Oryctolagus cuniculus: one gene and its partner. The protein of the gene in region 1 purifies or fractionates together with the protein of each later gene. This does not show direct contact. Links are inferred from orthologs where the notes say so. Each region holds a gene or a part of one and is shown on either strand. Other genes may lie near its edges.

What was found. The genes of interacting proteins can lie anywhere in the genome.
Region 2: the proteins of SLC37A3 (region 1) and ATRAID purify together in Homo sapiens (affinity purification with mass spectrometry; 3 studies listed by BioGRID and IntAct, counting the BioPlex papers as one, with this or other methods). This does not show direct contact. The link is inferred for Oryctolagus cuniculus from reciprocal best matches to the Homo sapiens genes SLC37A3 and ATRAID.

What each region holds. Positions count from the first base shown.
Region 1 is NC_091434.1:183,658,462-183,662,966, reverse strand, and holds part of SLC37A3 (sugar phosphate exchanger 3), read right to left. Parts: intron 2,786-4,505; coding exon 2,644-2,785; intron 760-2,643; coding exon 658-759; intron 93-657; coding exon 45-92; intron 1-44. UniProt on the Homo sapiens protein: Unlike the other SLC37 members, lacks glucose-6-phosphate antiporter activity.
Region 2 is NC_091433.1:175,756,857-175,761,808, forward strand, and holds the start of ATRAID (all-trans retinoic acid-induced differentiation factor), read right to left. Parts: upstream 3,460-4,952; 5' UTR 3,390-3,459; coding exon 3,291-3,389; exon of another isoform or gene 2,936-3,290; coding exon of another isoform or gene 2,894-2,935; intron 2,702-2,893; coding exon 2,580-2,701; exon of another isoform or gene 2,254-2,579; coding exon of another isoform or gene 2,156-2,253; intron 798-2,155; coding exon 726-797; intron 545-725; coding exon 473-544; intron 375-472; coding exon 253-374; intron 1-252. UniProt on the Homo sapiens protein: Promotes osteoblast cell differentiation and terminal mineralization. Plays a role in inducing the cell cycle arrest via inhibiting CCND1 expression in all-trans-retinoic acid (ATRA) signal pathway.

The DNA.
Region 1 (4,505 bases):
TTGACTTTCCAGAGAGAGCAGGAGCAGCAGAGCCCCGGCCGCACCTGTGACGGTCATGAGAAGCGCGTTGACGGACTTATTGTTTGGAGAACCTGTGAGGAAACAGACAGACGAGGTGACTGCAGATGGCTTCACAGGTCCCCGCCAAACACGAGGAGCAGAGCCTCCGCGACGGCACATGCCGCCCCAGGGACTACAAGCAGACGCGGGCCTTCCAGCTCCCACCAGCAGTCTGCCTCTCGCTGGCGCTCAGGCTCAGGCTAATGAAGACATCTGCAAGCTGCAGAACCCCCGCCCCGTGGCCGCCGCATCTTAAGGGACACACACCAAGCTAATGAGCATCTTCCCGCTCCTGAACTCGCCTCCCCGTTTATTGTTTTATTGGCTCCAATGCTGTCCCTCGGGGCCACCCCTCAAACAAAGCACGTACACTCCCAAGCAAGCTTTTAAACAAGCCAGCAAAGCACGAGAGATGCCAATTTCCTGCCTCCCCACACAAATAAAACCATGTGACGCCGGCTTTCCCAGGCGTTCCCAGGCCAGCGCCAGGGTGGCACAGCAGCCTGAAGCTGCACTCGGGGCTCCCCGCCTGCTGACTCCAGACGAATGCTTGCTCCCGGGAGCTCAGGAACACAGTGCTTGCGAAGGCATACTCACGACTGTACCCCACGAGGGACCCGATGGCCAGAAGCAGGCTCAGGGCTAACACGGGGGCTCTCTTCTGCAGCATGTCAGAGACGAAGCCTTGCAGAGTCCCACCTTGGAGCACAAGCATCATGGCACCATCAACGTCACTGCCTTTCAAACTCGGCCCGGTCACCTGAGCAGGGCCCCACACCCTCCCTTCTACCCTTAGGTCTAGCCCAAAAATGGCCGACTCTCCGGACGCTTCTACCATCATTTATTTTACAAAGATGAACTGTTTTGTTTTGTTTGTTTACAGATTTAATTATTTACTTGAAAGGCAGAGTTACAGAGAGAGGAGAGAAAGAGAGAGAGATCTTCCATCCACTGGCTCACTCCCCAAATGGCTGCAATAGCCAAGGCTGAGCCAGGCTGAAGCCAGGAGCCAGGAGTTTCTTCCAGGCTTTTCACATGGGCGCAGAGGCCCAGGCACTTGGGCCATCCTCTGCTGCTTTTCCCAGGGCATTAGCAGGGAGCTGGATCAGAACTGGAGCATCCGGGGCTTGAACCCATATGGGATGTTGGCACTGCAGGCCATGGCTTAACACACTGTGCCAAAGTGTCACCCCTGATGAACTGTTAAATCGCCATGATGGATGACAGGGACAGAACACCACTAATCAGACATCAAAATAAGAAACAAGGAAAAATCAAAACCATCTATTATCCCTGTTTCCCCTACAAAAATAAGTTGTGAATGCTTTTTCCGATGTTTCTGCTTTTGAACTTAAATGATGAGTAAGGACTGTGCCTCACAGGCTGCTAACAGTGGCTGATAAATGTTCACTGAGAATAAATCAGCAGTTGTGGTTCGGTAAGAACTGACAGGCAGGCCAGAATGTGAAAACAGGTGATGTGGGGCCTGCGTTGTGGCACCGGCAAGCAGCTGCCTGTGACGCTGGCATCCCGTATCGGAAGGCTCCTTCCAGTCCCAGCTGCCCCGCTTCCCGTCCAGCTCCCTCTAATGCCTCTGGGGAGGCAGCAGAGGACAGCTCACGTAGTGGGGCCCCTTCCACCCACGTGGGAGACCTGACGGAGTGCTGGGCTCCTGGCTTTGGCCTGGCCCAACCTGGGAGTTGCAGCCATTTGAGGAGTGAACCAGCAGACAGGTATGTATGTGTGTTTCTTCTCTCTGTCACTCTGCCTTTCAAATAAATAAATACATATTTAAAAATAAGAGAGGTGATGTGACTGTCACACTGGACACAGGGCCACTCTGAGCTCTAGGGCTGGGGGACATGTGGCCCATCTCCATCAGACACCTACGAAGTTCCAATCTCAGGGGACACAGAGGCAAGGACAGGTCCGAAGGAGGCCATCGCGCTCTAGACTCTGGGTCTAAGAACCAGGGCAGCCAAGCGCACAGACACAGCAACCGGACATCACCAAGGAATGCGTCAGGAGCTTTGATGCGCTCACCACAATCCCACGTGTCAGCAGAAGGGCAGCAGGCACTGTGTGTGCCCGTCTGTCTTTAAAGTTTCTTAGTGCCTTGCTCATAGCACAAAGTCACTATTAAAATCTGTTGTTTATAAGGAAGCAGTTGCATAACACAAAAATTAACCCCAGCTGTTACTGCTAGCGACACCCTGGGTGTTCTTTTCCTTATTTGGCTGGGGAGACGGGGAGGCGGGAGGCAGACACAGGAACACACAGGCCTCGTAACTCCCACCTCTGACACAGTCAGCTTTAGAGAGGCAGTGAGCGTCCAGGGGAGGTTCCGTGTGTGTCCTGAGACAAAGGACCGAGAAGACCCCTGCCGCCGCAGCGCTGCCCTGGCTGCGTCTTCCTTCCCAGGGACCTCTTTTCATTTTTTTTTTTTTTTCTTTTTTTTTTTCCAGAGTTTGGCTGTTTACTGGTAGGGCACTTTAGGGAAAATGGTTGTTAACTGAAGCCAGGCTTCACAGCCTGGTGAAAGACTTCTAGTGAACTAACTCTCCTACAGAAAGAGACGCATACCTATGATTCCTCCAACGTCGTACCAAATGGACAGCTGGTCAGCTTCGGCCTCCTTCCAGCCAAAGTTGTTACTCAGATAAAAGGGCAACCAGAAGAAGAAGGAGTAATTCACTAACTTGAGGCAGGCGTAGGCCAGGGAATACTAGAAGGAAAGCACTCGATCGTCAGTGAGCACAGCACGGCCTCAGCTTTTAACAAACTTCGGTACAGGAGCTGGGGATGAGCGGCCCCTGGCTCCCCGGTAAACACCTTTACAAATCCCCATCTGCCCACGGCACCTACTCCCCCCTTCCCTTTATCCCCAGTGGCTTCTCAGGTGCAGCAGGCTTTGAACTAACACCTGCCCACGACTGTTTCATAACCACCCCTAGTCTATCCTCCCAGCAGAAGCAAACCAGTGTTTGGGACCTAAAGGCAGGGCACAGGCTCATATTTCTTGACTAGAAGATAAACGATACCCATGCAACTAACTGGCGCTAACCATAGGCAAACATACAGTGCTTACTGCAGCGGTTAAAGGTTATCCTACTTCCTGCAAATTAACACTGAGAAAGTTGGAGAACAAGGTGACTCAACCATAGTTTCAGGGTCTAAAAAAAGCCTCAATGTTAAAACTGCTTTCACACTGGAGTTAACCCAAAGCCCAATCCAGTCCCACCCCCAGCGGAAAAGAAGAAAACAAACATCTCTGATGAGCCGAACGTAAAGGAACACGCGGTCTTCGACCTGCGGCTGGCTCTCCTTTGAGGGAGGGAAAAGCTGCAGCTGCCTGCGGATGGTTGGGAGGCGAAGACTCCTATATTCAACCCGTTATGACCAGGAAGTCCTGACATTTAGCATCAAAGGGAAGAGGAGGAGGGACGAGGGGCTGACTTCAAAGGCTGTCTGGCTAGTACATTCTTTTCCCCGGAGCTGCCACTTATTCCCTAGGTATCACTTGTTCTAAAACTGCTTCCACCCCCCAGAGAGTCAAATCCCAATGGTGAGTGGATGTTCCAGACAGGCCGCTGCAAAGACAAAGGGATGGAGCGGAGTAGATTTCCTTTACACCAGTGCCTTGGCGGAGAGCAGCTGCTCGTGAAGTACAAAGGGACAGCAAGAGTTCCACAGCTAGTCACAACAAACCTGCGCCCTCTCAGAAAGGACCCACTGCCAGCACTGACGATCCTCGCACAAGGAGAGGCCTTCGGGAGCTGCATTCCCCTCCATTACAGCACCGAACGTAAGAACTGTGGGAGGTGCACTTACAAGGCACTTCAAAAACTTCATGGGAAGCGGAATGAAAAGATGTTGACTTTGGTGCAAAAAAATTTCAAAATTTTTCATTTTTCCAATAATTTTTAGAAGCGCATACATTGTAATTCACACTCAAGTATCTGTTCAAATGTTAGTTCTCTTAGCTTGGGGACACAGGAGGGAGGGCACTGGTAAGTGAGAAATAAGGTGGCCTGCAGGCTTTTAATCCAAAGTGCACCACTAAAAAGTGAAAAAACAAGACAGGTGCTTGTTCTCAACACCATAACCCAGCCTTGTGAACCCCATGGGGGCTGGGGTCACCTCCGTCCCACAGGAAACAGCACAGATGGGCCGGGTGCCCTACCCGGGTCGCACAGAAAGTCAGCTGGGAGCAGCCTAGGCCTCCACTGCCACTGCAGTGCTGAGCGCCCGAAACAGAGACCACAAAGCTGCAGGACACAGGACTCAGCTCAGACGTTAGAAAGTCTTTCGGGCTGCAAAGGTGGAGTCTGGCACGCACGACCAAGGACACCGCAGTGCTCTGCTCTAGACCCCTTTTAAGAGTGGGGAAAAAAAAGTTTTTCCTGGAACAACCAGAATGTCGGCTATTAAGACATTTAATGAAC
Region 2 (4,952 bases), on another chromosome or scaffold:
GAGAACATCGCCGGATTTCATTAGGTGTATTTCTGAAACACCTTTTCAAGTTAGGTTCTCTCAGTCATTTCCAGGTCAAAGGGACAGGAAAGATTACAGCTCATCACACCTAATAATTACAGTAGAACGTTTAAGATCTTTTCTTTCCAAGGGTCGTTAGAACCTCAGAACAAAATGCATTCAGGCATTTTTGGCTTTCTGCTCTAAAGTGGAGAACTGTCCAAGGAAGGAAGGTGAGGTGAGCCAGCGTACCTGGGTCTCCAGTGCTGTTACAAAGGTTCTTTTGCCCTTGGCAGGTTTGGTTGTCTGCGTAAGAGGTGACGGTGTCCCAGGCACTAATACCCCCAGGACAGCTGACATCATGCGGCAGTACCCTGAAGACAACACAGTGGTCATAATACGCAGCCTAAGCTGCTGAGCTCATGGCACTGCCCCCTTTGGTTCTCTCCCTCCATCTTGTCCCCATACTCACAATGTCTGGAGCTGTGTAAAGCCTCGGAAGGTGTCGGTCAGGTCACCCTGGAGGGGGTTTGTTTGCAGCTCTCTGCAAAGCACACACGGTCAGCACTCTGCTCATTGAAGACCCTGCTGACATTCCCCTAGCTTTCCGGAGCGGTAATGCAATTCTCATCCCGACTGTCCCAAGTTTAGACGCCGATATGCACCTCCCCATCAACCTTTAGCCATTATTCGCTTTCTGGGCAGAAGGGCACCTGACTACTTACATGATGACAGCGCTGTGTGCCTGAGGGAAGTTTGGGCCAGGCTGCTTCAGAGAACAGTTCTGGAGATCCAGCCTGAGGAAACAAAGTGTGTGTAACGATGTCTGCTTTCTCTTCTTCCACGACAAGGTCTGTGTTTGATTACGCAACCCCCTCTTCAGCTAATATCAAGTGAATACAGCAGGGTTCAGAGTCACAGACCAGATGCTGAGGTTGACGTTTTAGGCTCGCGTTACCCACTACCGTCACCCACCAGCTACCCACGGCTACTTTAACCACTTCAACCCAGCAATCCAGTGCCTCCCTCGCACTGGCCACATTTCAAGTAGAAATGTTAGTAGTGCTGTGCTGGTCAGTCCAGACATGGAACGTTCCCATTGTTAAAGAGAGCTCTGTTGCACAGCACCGCCCTCATCAGTTTGCCTACGAACATGTGCATAGACTGAAGAAATTAGTATTTGTGTAGAATAGTGGATCTCAAATTATATCGACCCTCAGATCCACAGTACTCCTTTAAGTGGAAAAAAAAAAAAGTCATATGAAAGAGAGTTTTTCCAAGTCCATTTTCTACCATAGACTGGTGACAAACTCCTGGACATCAAGGACCATGCAACATTTAAATTTTTTTTTCTGCAATACCTGTTGCTGTCTATTCCTTTATCCTACAAATATTTACTGAGACACTCTAAACTACAAAAATTGGGAGAATATAAAAAACATGTAACTCAGCATCTTAGCCCTTTACTGGCATATAATACAGAACCAGACGGTCATCAAAAATTACAATATGGGAAAAAAATCCACAGGACCATCCACAGACTGCTATGGACATTGAGGATCAGAAGTTAAAAAAACAAAAAGGCATTACTCTGAGATCATTCACCAAAGGTGTTGGAATTGCAGATCTACTATGTCCTAATTTGCTGGAGGATGGTAATTTTGGGTATGGAGAGAGGTGGGATGCCTTGGGGGGGGTGTGCCAGTCTGACTGGAGCTGGACCCTTACGGAGAGTTTGAATGGCTGAGGAATCAGGATAATGTTGGAAAAGTGTGTCGGGACTGGTCTGTGGTGCTTCATGGTTTGGCCTTTATCCTGAGGGCAACAGTTCTAAATATTAAAGCAAGGAAGTGATAACGGTAAAATTTTGCTTTTCAGAAAGTGGAATACAGAGACCCATTTAGGTAGATTAGGGAAAGATGAGGATGGAAGCCAGATATAACATCTGGAGTTTGATGTGAGGGTACACTCAGAGGATTTAATAAGCAGCTGGAGGTGCCCAGGCCCGTGGGCCTGGAGGAGTCAATGGTGCTTAGAAGGCCTGGCCTAGGCAGACCCCTGCGGAATGGGTACAGCTGAGGCACCGAGACCCAGGGAAACTCTTGTGAGTGCAGAGAAAGGCAGCAAGGCCAAGGAGTGAATCTGAGAGACTAACCTGTACAAGCAGGTAGAGGCAGAACTTGTCCCAACACAAATATAAATAAGCCAGAAAATGAACAAGAGCCGCGGAGCAGTGTCTTGGAGGAATTTCATGGAGACACACAATAAATAACCCAAAGGCTTGATAATAAGCAGACCAAAGCTCTTTTTAAAACAAAATCATAAATAAAAAAATCATAAATAAAAGCCTTAAAAAAAGCTACACAAACATTATGACTTTTACAAAGTTTCATCCATAAAGAAACACAAGGTTGTGTTTCTAACAACCTCGTGCTATGACACATTTAAAAGTTTGAGAACCAGAGTTTGGATGCCTCCAACTAGGCACCAGCGTTCATCCGCAAAGCCAAGCCGGGAAGCCGGGCAGCCGCCAGCGTGGGAACCGTTCCAGCCTCCAGGGATGGCCTCCGCGCCCTCACCCCACGATGGCGCCCGTCGGACCCAGGCAGCAGCGCGCACGCAGCGTTAGCCCCGGTGTCTGCTCACAGTAAACCGCCACTGCGGACACGTTGTGCACACCCCCTGGACACTGGCTGCAGATCTGCAGGAGAGAAAACACACGTGTTAGGCTTCCAGACAGAAAACGGAGAACCAACTGGTGCCAAGAATTCACCGCCAGTACCCCGAGCCCCTGTTACCAGGCTGGACCAGGACACTTGGGTGCCACAGCTGGCCAGGGAGGGGATGTCTTTGCTATGCCCTCCCCAGAGCCGCCTCCTTCAGACAGCCCCACCTGGCCGGGTGTAAAGAGGCTGCGGGTACTCCGAGAACTCATCAAGCTCCACAGAAGGTACCGTCCAACCGCGGCACAGTGCGTGGACAGCGAGCCCGAGAGCCAGAGACCCGTCCGTTCCAACAATGTTTTTAAGTCATTCAAAGATGAAGCAGCGAGGAGATCAAATTTCAAAGGCCTTTGAACGTGGTGTCGGCGCGAGCGCCCGAGGCCAGAGTGACGTGAGTGTCGCCGCGAGCCGGACGCGGCTGCGGGATCCCGGCGGCTGCCCTCCAGGGACGAAGCCGGGGCGCAAGGCCGGCGTCGGGGAGGGGACTGCCGCGGGCGGGCGGGCGGGCGCGACACACCGGCAGGCCAGCGGCCCTGCTTCAGCCCGACCTCAAACTTGCTCCTGTACCTCGGGTAGCGCCACAGCCCTTTCCACGCTCAGAGCGAGGAGCAGGGCCGCAGCCCAGCGCACCGGGCAGGTACGATTGCCCGGCTCGCGAAGCGCCATTTTTCGCTTCCTTCGACCTTTTCTGTGCCTCGCGAGACCACACCGCGGCCCCGCCCCCGTCCCGGGGCGTGGCTTAGTCGGCCGGCTCCTGGCGGCCGGGGCGGGCTGTGAGTTGCTGCTGGTTGCGTGGGGTACCGCGCGTTTCCGTGCGCCCCAGTTTTCGTTCTGAGGGGACTGGCGAAGGCGCCTGTGCAGACTGCGGGATCCTCCAGCCCCGCGTCTCCCGCGTCCGGACGCCACGGTGGCGTCCGCACAGCGGCTCGGGTGCCTTCAGATGCCCTCAGTAAACATGGCGGCCAGGCGGGCCGGGGGCGGGGCCTCGCTGTCACCCTCCCTGTGTTTTGCTGCCCCGGCTCTCCGGCGACCCACGTGTGGAGACCAGGCAGGTGGGCCGGGAGGGTGTGGACCAGTGCGGAGAGGCTCGGCCGAGCGACGTCAGGGCGGGGGCGGAGAGGCGGGGTGGGACGGGACCGGCAGGCCCCCGGCGCGGGGACTGAAGTGCAAACGGGGCGAGGTGGTGAACTCGGCACGTGCGGAGGGAAGGGAAGAAGCCGAGAAAGGAAGCGGTGAGAGTGATGGACCAGCGAGTGGAGGGCGAAGGGCAAACTCCGGCGGCCGGACGCGAGCTTGGGAACGCCCCGGGCACCCTGTCCCTTCCACCTCCGTGCTGAGAGCGCGCGGCGTCCCCGGAGCCTGGCGAGGTGGTAGGGGCGGGAGAGACTCTTCCCTCATTCGTCTTCCTTGCTTTTCCAGGAAAAGGGAGCGATGCTGAACTCAGGTAGAAGCAGGGGACCTTCCTAGTCCTGGCCGAGCCACGGAGGTGAGGTAAGGCGGGGTGGCGCGGAGTCCTGGCGCGGGGCGCTGGGCGAGCCGGGCTCGGGGACCGGCAGGGCTGGCTTGGTCAGGGTCAGCCGGAAGCCCAGCTGAGTCGACCGAAGCTCATTTGAGTAGCTGCTCCAGGTCGTGCTTCCGCGGACCCCCGGGATCTGCCTGGAGTCTCCTGGATGCATGTTTGCATCTAGTTGGCTGGCGGATTCTCTGAGATGTTCGTAGCCATTTGCGTTTTAGTGAGGGTCCCGAAGCCTTTCATGTCGAGGGATTCTGGGGGACAGTTGCTCCTGCTGTGGCCCCTTTGGGCCCTGTAGGGTCGGAGCAGTCGGGTGCAGCGTGTGACCACAGGGTTTGGGCATCTTAGAAGGGCCCCCCACGTGGCTGTGCCCTCCCCATGACAGGTAGCTCAGTTCTTGGCTCCCACACCCTCAGAGACTTTAGGGTTTCCATCAGGGCAGCCTGTTAGCTGCTGCTCTGTTCTTAGAATGGTGTGTGTGCCGGCGCCGCGGCTCACTAGGCTAATCCTCCGCCTTGCGGCGCCAGCACGCCGGGTTCTAGTCCCGGTCCGGGCGCCGGATTCTGTCCCGGTTGCCCCTCTTCCAGGCCAGCTCTCTGCTGTGGCCCGGGAGTGCAGTGGAGGATGGCCCAGGTACTTGGGCCCTGCACCCCATGGGAGACCAGGATAAGTACCTGGCTCCTGCCATCGGATCAGCGCGGTGCGCCGGCCGCCAT